2 linked regions of the Mus musculus genome follow. The protein of the gene in region 2 interacts with the protein of the main gene of each other region in a biochemical or structural test. Links are inferred from orthologs where the notes say so. Each region holds a gene or a part of one and is shown on either strand. Other genes may lie near its edges.

Evidence for each region.
Region 1: the proteins of Flt1 (region 2) and Pgf are reported together in a solved structure, tested with the Homo sapiens proteins (2 studies listed by BioGRID and IntAct, with this or other methods). The link is inferred for Mus musculus from reciprocal best matches to the Homo sapiens genes FLT1 and PGF.

The regions. Positions count from the first base shown.
Region 1 is NC_000078.6:85,174,456-85,178,817, reverse strand, and holds the start of Pgf (placenta growth factor isoform 1 precursor), read left to right. Parts: upstream 1-1,504; 5' UTR 1,505-1,842; coding exon of another isoform or gene 1,843-1,854; coding exon 1,855-1,920; intron 1,921-2,835; exon of another isoform or gene 2,836-2,918; intron 2,919-2,999; exon of another isoform or gene 3,000-3,022; coding exon 3,023-3,062; intron 3,063-4,362. UniProt on the Homo sapiens protein: Growth factor active in angiogenesis and endothelial cell growth, stimulating their proliferation and migration. It binds to the receptor FLT1/VEGFR-1. Isoform PlGF-2 binds NRP1/neuropilin-1 and NRP2/neuropilin-2 in a heparin-dependent manner.
Region 2 is NC_000071.6:147,561,972-147,565,776, reverse strand, and holds part of Flt1 (vascular endothelial growth factor receptor 1 isoform 1 precursor), read left to right. Parts: intron 1-1,370; coding exon 1,371-1,557; 3' UTR 1,558-3,805. UniProt on the Homo sapiens protein: Tyrosine-protein kinase that acts as a cell-surface receptor for VEGFA, VEGFB and PGF, and plays an essential role in the development of embryonic vasculature, the regulation of angiogenesis, cell survival, cell migration, macrophage function, chemotaxis, and cancer cell invasion.

The sequences.
Region 1 (4,362 bases), on a different chromosome or scaffold from region 2:
CTAGGAATAGATGCACTTCAATGCCTAGGTGTACACGAGATGCTGTGAGCACGTGTGGATCCTGGCTACCTATCCACAGCATCCTTGGGTCAGCTCACTTTCATCCACATGCACAATGACCCCGCAACCATGCTCTGGAGCCAGGGAGACAATCTGTCTACTGTACAATCCCCAGCATGTTGGAGCTCGTCAGAATGTTCTTTGCAACCCCCGCTTAGCTGGCCAGTGACTGGCCCCTGGCTCCTGGACCTGCAGGCCTCAGGGCCTACCAGACAGAGAGGCAGCATCTCTGGCAGCCCCTTGTGGGTGGGCAGCAGGCCACAGACACAGAGGTCACTGGGGGTGAGAGCCAGGACTGCCCTAGCCTCCCTGCCTCTGAATGGAATGTGATCCAAGAGCCACCTCCCAGGCCCATCTCCTCCCCCACAGCCACCCACCAACTTCTGACTCTGGATGCTGCCAGGTTTTTGCAACCAGCCCACAAGCTGGTCACAGAGGTTTGTTAGAATGGTAGGTGATGAAGAACAACTCAGGAACACAGGAGGTTACCACAAAAGTACAGACATGCATGGCTGCACACAAGTACAAAGAGATACCCAGAGACCCAGATCTGCGACACACAGTGTAACTGGGCACGTTCAGTGGGTGACATATACACACAGCTTCATAGGTATACACAAGTGCCCATGCAGACACCACCTCTCCTCAGCATGTCCTGCTGCTCTAGAACACTTCCTCTTCTGCTTGGGCTCGGGAGGTGATGCCAGGTTAGTCCATTCCCTACCTCTAATAGGCTGGCCTGACCTGACAGGAGGAAGTGGTGGTGGACCTAGGTCTAGCCAGGTGCCCCGAGGTGTTTCCTGTGTACAGCCCACAGCTGGGCTGCCCTGTGCCTGCCTACCAGGTCAGATAGTACATGGAATAGAGGGACGGTTCTGGAGGCACGTAGCTTGTCTTGTCTCTGCCAGATCCCTGTCTACGCAGGCAGATGCCCGCGGGCACACATACACTTTCCTAGTGTGAATATGAACATTGTTCAGCATCTGCAGGTGGTGCCCTCTCATAGGATCGGGTTGTTAGTCTATAAAATGGGGTTAGTAATCCTGTCACCTCTCCTCCCGGGGTTGTGTAGGGATGGCACTGGTCATGAAGGGCCACAGCAAGATGCTGCCTTCTTAGTACTGCACTCCCTGCAGAGGTCACTTAAGTACCCAGCCATCTCCAAGGCAGATGTTGGACGTCCGCACCTGGAGGCTCCAGAAGAGCCAGGTGCAACCTTGGCTGTCGCTGCGGGCTGACCCTGGGGCAAGCTAATGAACGCCTAGCTCCGAGGGGCCAGGAGATCTGCGCCGGCAGCGCCCCTTCAGCGCCCTGCGGGGTCACGCGCACTCAGGTCTCACCGCCAACCGGCTCTCAGCGCTCCCGGGCTGCTCCTGGGGCCTCGAGATAGAAGTGGGCGGGCAGGCTGCAGCCCCGCCCCATACACGGTCTTGAAAACCAGCGGCCGACTAGCTTCAGTTCGTAGGGAAGCTGCAGTCTGAGAAGGAAACCGCATCTTCAGACTTCTGCTCACTCACGAGAGGAGCTAGGGTCATCGGACCCCTAAGATCCTTTCACATCGCTCCGACTCGCCGGAACACTCCTCACCAGTTTCCTCAGCCACAGCCCTACCTGTGAGCTCCGGACTTCCCCGGCTTTCTGTGGATGCTCAGGCAGACTGCAGAGACCTAGCCTAGGACAGCAGTGAGGGGGACACTCCTCTCCTCTCCTCTCCTCTGGTATCAGCGTCTCCCCCAAGGGGGACGAGCATGGTGATTGTGCCTTGAAGGACCTTGGCTCTGGATGTCTGAGAAGATGCTGGTCATGAAGCTGTTCACTTGCTTCTTACAGGTCCTAGCTGGGTTGGCTGTGCATTCCCAGGTAAGGACCTGGCCTGGCTTCCTCTTGACCTTCTCATCCTAGCCGTAGAAACAGGGGCTATGGTCTTTAATTACAGACTCACTTTAGAGAGCAGCTTCTGCTAGGGTGCCCACATATTTCCCAGGGGCTGGGCTGGACCTCAGGGAGGAGACCTCTGGCTGGGCAGTCCCCAATTCCTGGGGGCTGTCTTAGTGGGGGCAGGGAAGCCACAGGGAATGAGGGAGGTTTCCTGTCTAGCCCCTGGAGCCCTAGTGGCTTTGCAAAAAGCATCCGTCCACTAATCCCAGTCAGCTCCCTGGCCCTGTGGTCAGGGTTGTGGCCCCATGACCAACCAGGCGCCCCCAGGACCTCTGACCTGGCCTAGTGGGGAAGGAGCTGACTAAAGAAGCTTGAGGTGGGGAGGTGAGGCCCTTCCCCCACCATTGCTCCAATTGAGCAGAGGGCTCTTGGGTGGGCTTCAGATATGACAAGGGATCCTGCCGTGCCCTTTCCTCCTGGTGGGTGTCAGAAGGTCCTGAGTGCAGGGCCTGGGGAAGTGAGCAGGGCCCTTTTCCCAGGAGCTGGGTGAGTCTGGCAGGGAGCCAGATTGGGCAGCAAAATCCTGACAAAGCCAATGCATTCCCTTCCTGCTGCACTGCCCGCTGCACTGCCCACTGCCCTGGGAGCCCTCAGCCCCAGCCCAGGAGTGGGTGGGTTGTCCAGTCCCCTTGCCGAGCAGCCAGGCCATCCGTCTGCTTGCTGCAGTGTTAGCTCGAGGTGTAACGTTACTGGCAGGCAGCACCAGCTCATGGCGCCGCCTCTTCTCCAGCCCCTGAGCTCCCACCAGCTGATCACCCTCCCCCTGGGCTCTGGCACCCAGCCAAGGCGGGCTGTAGTAGGCCCAGCAGGACTGGCCTGGGGGCTGGGCAGAAGAGAGACCCCACAGGATTACAAGCACTTGGGAACACAAGAAGCCTCCTACCCTTTTCCAAGTGAAGAAACTGAGGCCAGAAAGTCAGGTGGTTTTTAGCAGAGGATGGGGGAGGAGCTTGGGGTGGGCTCAAAGAGCCGAGCCCCAAGAATATGCCCCCTCCTTATAGCTCCACCTTTGTGTCCACCGCAGGGGGCCCTGTCTGCTGGGAACAACTCAACAGAAGTGGAAGGTAAGCCAGCCAGGCCAGCTCTGCAAGCTGAGCCCCCTCTCTTCTTTCCTCATGAGCCTCAGCAGCCAAGGAGAAGGGATCGGTTGGTCTGAAGGGTGGGAGCAGGCCAGTGGCAAGCTGGGGTGGGTCTGCAAGCTCGACATCCAGGCTGAAGCCCAAGAGTCCAGCTTTTGTGACCCAGCAGCCTAGAGAGGTGCAGTCATGGGTTAGGGTCACCAAGCACACGGAAAGCAGGACGTGATCGCTAGGGTTCGTCCAGCTGGCTCAGGGCCCCTGCCCAGCAAGCTGTAAGGATGCAGATGGAGTCTTGGTGGACAGAATCTGTGTTGAGTGCCGGAGGCCAGACTGGAGTCTGGGAACTGGATATAGTAAGGAGCATTCAAGGGGCTTGGTCAGGACGAAGAGTCCTCCCTGCCATTCCAACCCTGGTGGAGCTGTGCAGCGCTGACCAGGCGTTTCCATTGATTACAAACAGGCGGGCTCTGTCACACCCTCCCTGGCCCTTTCACTCTCTGCCCTGGGTTGTGTCAAGACATAATCTTCAAAGGGCAGCAGGACCTTTGCCAAAGAGAGGAGCGCGCCCGCCGAAGGCTCGTGCCAGATCCTCTCTCCTTCTCCCTTCTTGCCTCTCAGAGACATGGAGGATGGCCACATACCATGACTGAGGCATCCAACAGCATGGGAGAAAGGATGTGCTTGTAGTAGTGTCCTCAAAGACACAGATAATAGCTGGATTGCTTTCTTGGCCTGGGAACACCCTCTGCTGGTCTGCCCCTTGTCTGTTCCCCATCCCCCTGGGAGCAGCCTGTCTGTCCTCGTCCTCTGCCTGCCCTCACATCTGAAGCCCAGACCACTGAACAGGTTAGAGAGGTAGCTGCCTCAACTTCAGGGACTTGCCCATTTTTGAGCCCCCTGGAATTGATCTGAGGAGGGTCATATCTCCCACCCCCCACATCATATCTGTTATTGGGGACTTTTGTTTGTAGAGCAGACACCAGCTTCCAAAGAGATCTCAGCCTCTGTTTCCTCATCTGTTAAATGGGAGAGCTTAGCTAAGTGCTTGATTTCAAAGACTCTTTTCCCAAGGTTGTGAAATTCTGAGTCCTTGGAAGAAACATGAATGTATATTATACTTGCCAAGATCCAGTGTGAGAAAGCTTGGAGGTATAGATTCAGAGTGTAGGCCATCTCACCTATAATCCTGACAAGCGAGTGGGCCTGCATTGTGGCCAAGGAAACAACAGTGGTTAGCATCTGGCATTGTCATCCCCTCCTGCTAACACCAGAGGCAGAGGCAGCA
Region 2 (3,805 bases):
GCTCTCGGGTCTAGCAATGAAGAGCACTGACTGCTCTTGCAGGGGACGCCTTCTTCTGCTGTCTGGAAGCACTAGGCACACATGGGGGACACACAGATACAGGCTAACAAAACACCCATACACGCAACAACAAACCAGATGGCCAGCCCACGTGCTGCAGTTGATTGAGCTGTGACTGGACTCAAACTTTCCAGCAGGCCACTGGAAAGACGGGCACTCCCGGGCAAACATTTACCTTTTCCCTGTGATGCAGTCTCAGAAGTAGGCCTTGGTGTTGAAGTTCCAAATTAATGGACCCCAATCTCCACAAAGGAAAGGGTAGCTAGCCAATCTTTTGTATCTTATTAAGGAGTGTGTGGGAGGAAAAGAGTGGGTTTTTGTTGTTGTTTTTGGTTTTGTTTTGTTTTTTTTAACTTGCTCTTTGATGAGGAAAAGATAAACCCTAATTTATATCCTCTACCCTGCAATTAAAGATTAAGACCAGAGCCAGGCCTGTCCAGGCTGGTCTACCCCATGTGGCTCATGGATTTCTCTCCATCCCAGCTCTCACTAATCTAGTGATTCTAACCCAATATTACAGGCTAGGAGATGCCTTTCTCCCTCCTGTGTCCATCTTGGGCTCATGTAACGTATGGTACCCGAGAACAACAGTCTCCTAGACCCTGCTGCGCTCAGGTGCTGCCTGTAATAACTGTGCCACGGTCTATTTCCTGAGACCACTAACCACGGATGTGACTAGAAGGAGGAATTTATTTCTACAGGCCAGAAGTCCAAAGTAAAGGTGTTGGCAGGGACGCACGCCCTTCGGAGGCTTGGTGGGAAGTGATCTATCTGCCTCTCACGGTGTCTGTGGCTTCCTGCTGTCCTCAGTTTGGGCTGTCCTCAAGCCCTGTCTCTGGTTGGTTATGACTGCCATTTGTGTGCCTACTGCATTGGAGTCCACCTGGCTAAATCAGAACGAGCTCCTCCTCTTTAAACCTCAGCTTAATTGCAGAGTTGCTCTCAGGCTACCAGGATTTGACATGATATTGGGGGAAGGGCAGGCAGCCCCCCCACCCCACTCCACCCCACCCCACCTCCGATTTAGCTGATCACAGGAGCTACCTGATTCAAGAATAGGCCGGGGCTATTCCCAAGTCTTGTTTCCAGTGAGAATCCCATCTCCTCAAACACTCCACTCCTGGCCACAGGCATGCTGGTTCCACCCAGCCGCACCGAGGTAGTGTATATATTCCAAACAAAGAACGTTTGACTAGGGACAGGAGGGATTCTAGATCAGGTAAGGACAGGTGACCCGCTTAGGCAGTCATTAGTCTTTGCCCAGAAAACATCAGGGAGGCGTTTGATGGACTGTTTCTCTTTCTCTTTAGCTTGAGAATAGCGAGTAAAAGCAAGGAGGCGGGACTTTCCGATCTGCCGAGGCCCAGCTTCTGCTTCTCCAGCTGTGGCCACATCAGGCCCGTGCAGGACGATGAATCTGAGCTGGGAAAGGAGTCCTGCTGTTCTCCACCCCCAGACTACAACTCCGTGGTGTTGTACTCCTCCCCGCCCGCCTAAAGCTTCTCACCAGCCCCGACAACCAGCCCCTGACAGTATTATACATCTATGAGTTTACACCTATTCCGCTCCACAGGAGCCAGCTGCTTTTCGTGACCTTTAATCGTGCTTTTTTGTTTTTTGTTTTGTTTGTTGTTGCTGTTTTGACTAACAAGAATGTAACCCCAGTTAGTGACGTGTGAAGAATACTATTGTTAGAGAAATCCCCCCCGCAAAGCCTCAGGGTAACCTGGACAGGAAGGAGCAGGTGCCTCTGGCGACCGCCCCGCCCACCGGCCATGGCCCCACCCACCCTCCCTGCAGCTGTGGGACTAGAGGCAGTAAGCCCATTAGCTCATGGCTGCATGCACTGACCTGCTCTGTCTCTCTTATGGAGGAAAGGGAGAACAGAGCAAACAGGAGGCACAGGAAAAGGCTTTGGGATGCGTCCGTCCTGTGGAGCCCGTGCAGGAGGGGGCTCCGCTATGCCACTTCAGTGACTTCTCACTCCTGGCCTCCGCTGTTTCGGGCCCCCTTCCAAGAGGTATCAGAGCAGAACATGAGGGACGTTTCCTAGACCAGGGCACATGTTCTCGGGAACCACAGTTAATCTTAAATCTTTTCCCGGGAGTCTTCTGTTGTCTGTTTACCATCCAAAGCATATTTAACATGTGTCAGTGGGGGTGGCGCTTGGCTTCTGAGGCCAGAGCCATCATCAGTTCCTCTAGTGAGATGCATTGAGGTCATACCCAAGCTTGCAGGCCTGACCTTCGCATACTGCTCACGGGGAGTTAAGTGGTCCAGTTTGGCCTAGTAAGGTTGCCTACTGATGGGCTCAAAAGCCACATTTTAAACAGGTTTTATCTCAAGTATTAATATATAGACAAGACACTTATGCATTATCCTGTTTTATATATCCAATGAATATAACTGGGGCGAGTTAAGAGTCATGGTCTAGAAAAGGGGTTTCTCTGTACCCAAATCGGGCTGGTTGGACCAAGACCCAGAGAGGCAGAGTGGTTGTCCCAGCTATAGTTACTAAACTACTCACCCAAAGTTGGGACCTCACTGGCTTCTCTTTACTTCATCATGGATTTCACCATCCCAAGGCAGTCTGAGAGGAGCTAAAGAGTATCAGCCCATATTTATTAAGCACTTTATGCTCCTTGGCACAGCAGGTGATGTGTAATTTATGCAAGCTCCCTCTCCAGCTAGGACTCAGGATATTAGTCAATGAGCCATCAAAAGGAAAAAAAAAAAACCATCTTATTTTCATCTGTTTCATACCTTGTCTGGGGTCTAATGACGATGGCAACAGGGTAGACATGGGAAGACAGGGTAGAAAAGGGTGCCCGCTCTTTGGGGTCTAGAGATGAGCCCTGGGTCTCTAAAATGGCTCTCTTAGAAGTTGTATGTGCAAATTATGGTCTGTGTGCTTAGGTCGTGCACACCTGCCGGAGCCGGTCACAGCTGGGCAGACGATGAATAGCTGCTTTGGGAGAGCAGAGCATGCTAGCCACTTAATTCTCTGACCGGGCCAGCATCATGGGTACCTGCTCCCCTGTGTACCCCATCCTTAAGGTTTTCTGTCTGATGAGACTGGAGGCCCAGTGCAATCCCCACTGAGACAGCCTGCAGCCCACTGTGGCTCTTGGTGCACTCACCAGCCAGGACTAGACAAGTAGGAAAGGGCTTCTAGCCACACTGGAGAAAAAGAAAATCAGGTAGGGCTGGCCAAAGACATCTTTGTCCATTCGCAAAAGCTCTTGTCGGCTGCAGTGTGTAAGTCAGGCGATGAGACAGAGGCTACCAGAGAAACGGATGAGAACAGCAGCCTGAGGTTTCTCATCCAGATATCCAGCAATTGGGGGGTGGGGGAAGACCATAGATGGTCCTGTATTATTCCGATTTTAATAATCTAATTCGTGATCATTAAGAGACTTTAGTAAATGTCCCTTTCCCACAAAAGTAAAGAAAAGCTATCGGGATTCTCTGGTTCTGCTTAAAGACTTAGCTTTGGAGCCTATGAAAGTTGATCAGCCAGGAAAAAAAAAAAAAAAGGAAAGAAAGGAAAGAAAGAAAAAAAGAAGGAAGACGGTTCCTTCTGAGTTTTTAGGGTAGGAAGAAAAATGGAAACTTCTAACGACAGACATACCTAGGTGCACTGGGCCTGATCACCAAGAACATGATTGGATGCTAAGAGCCTGGACAGTGGCATTCAAACCGTTTGCCATTCAAGGCCCAAGTAGATGGCACTGAGGAAGAACAG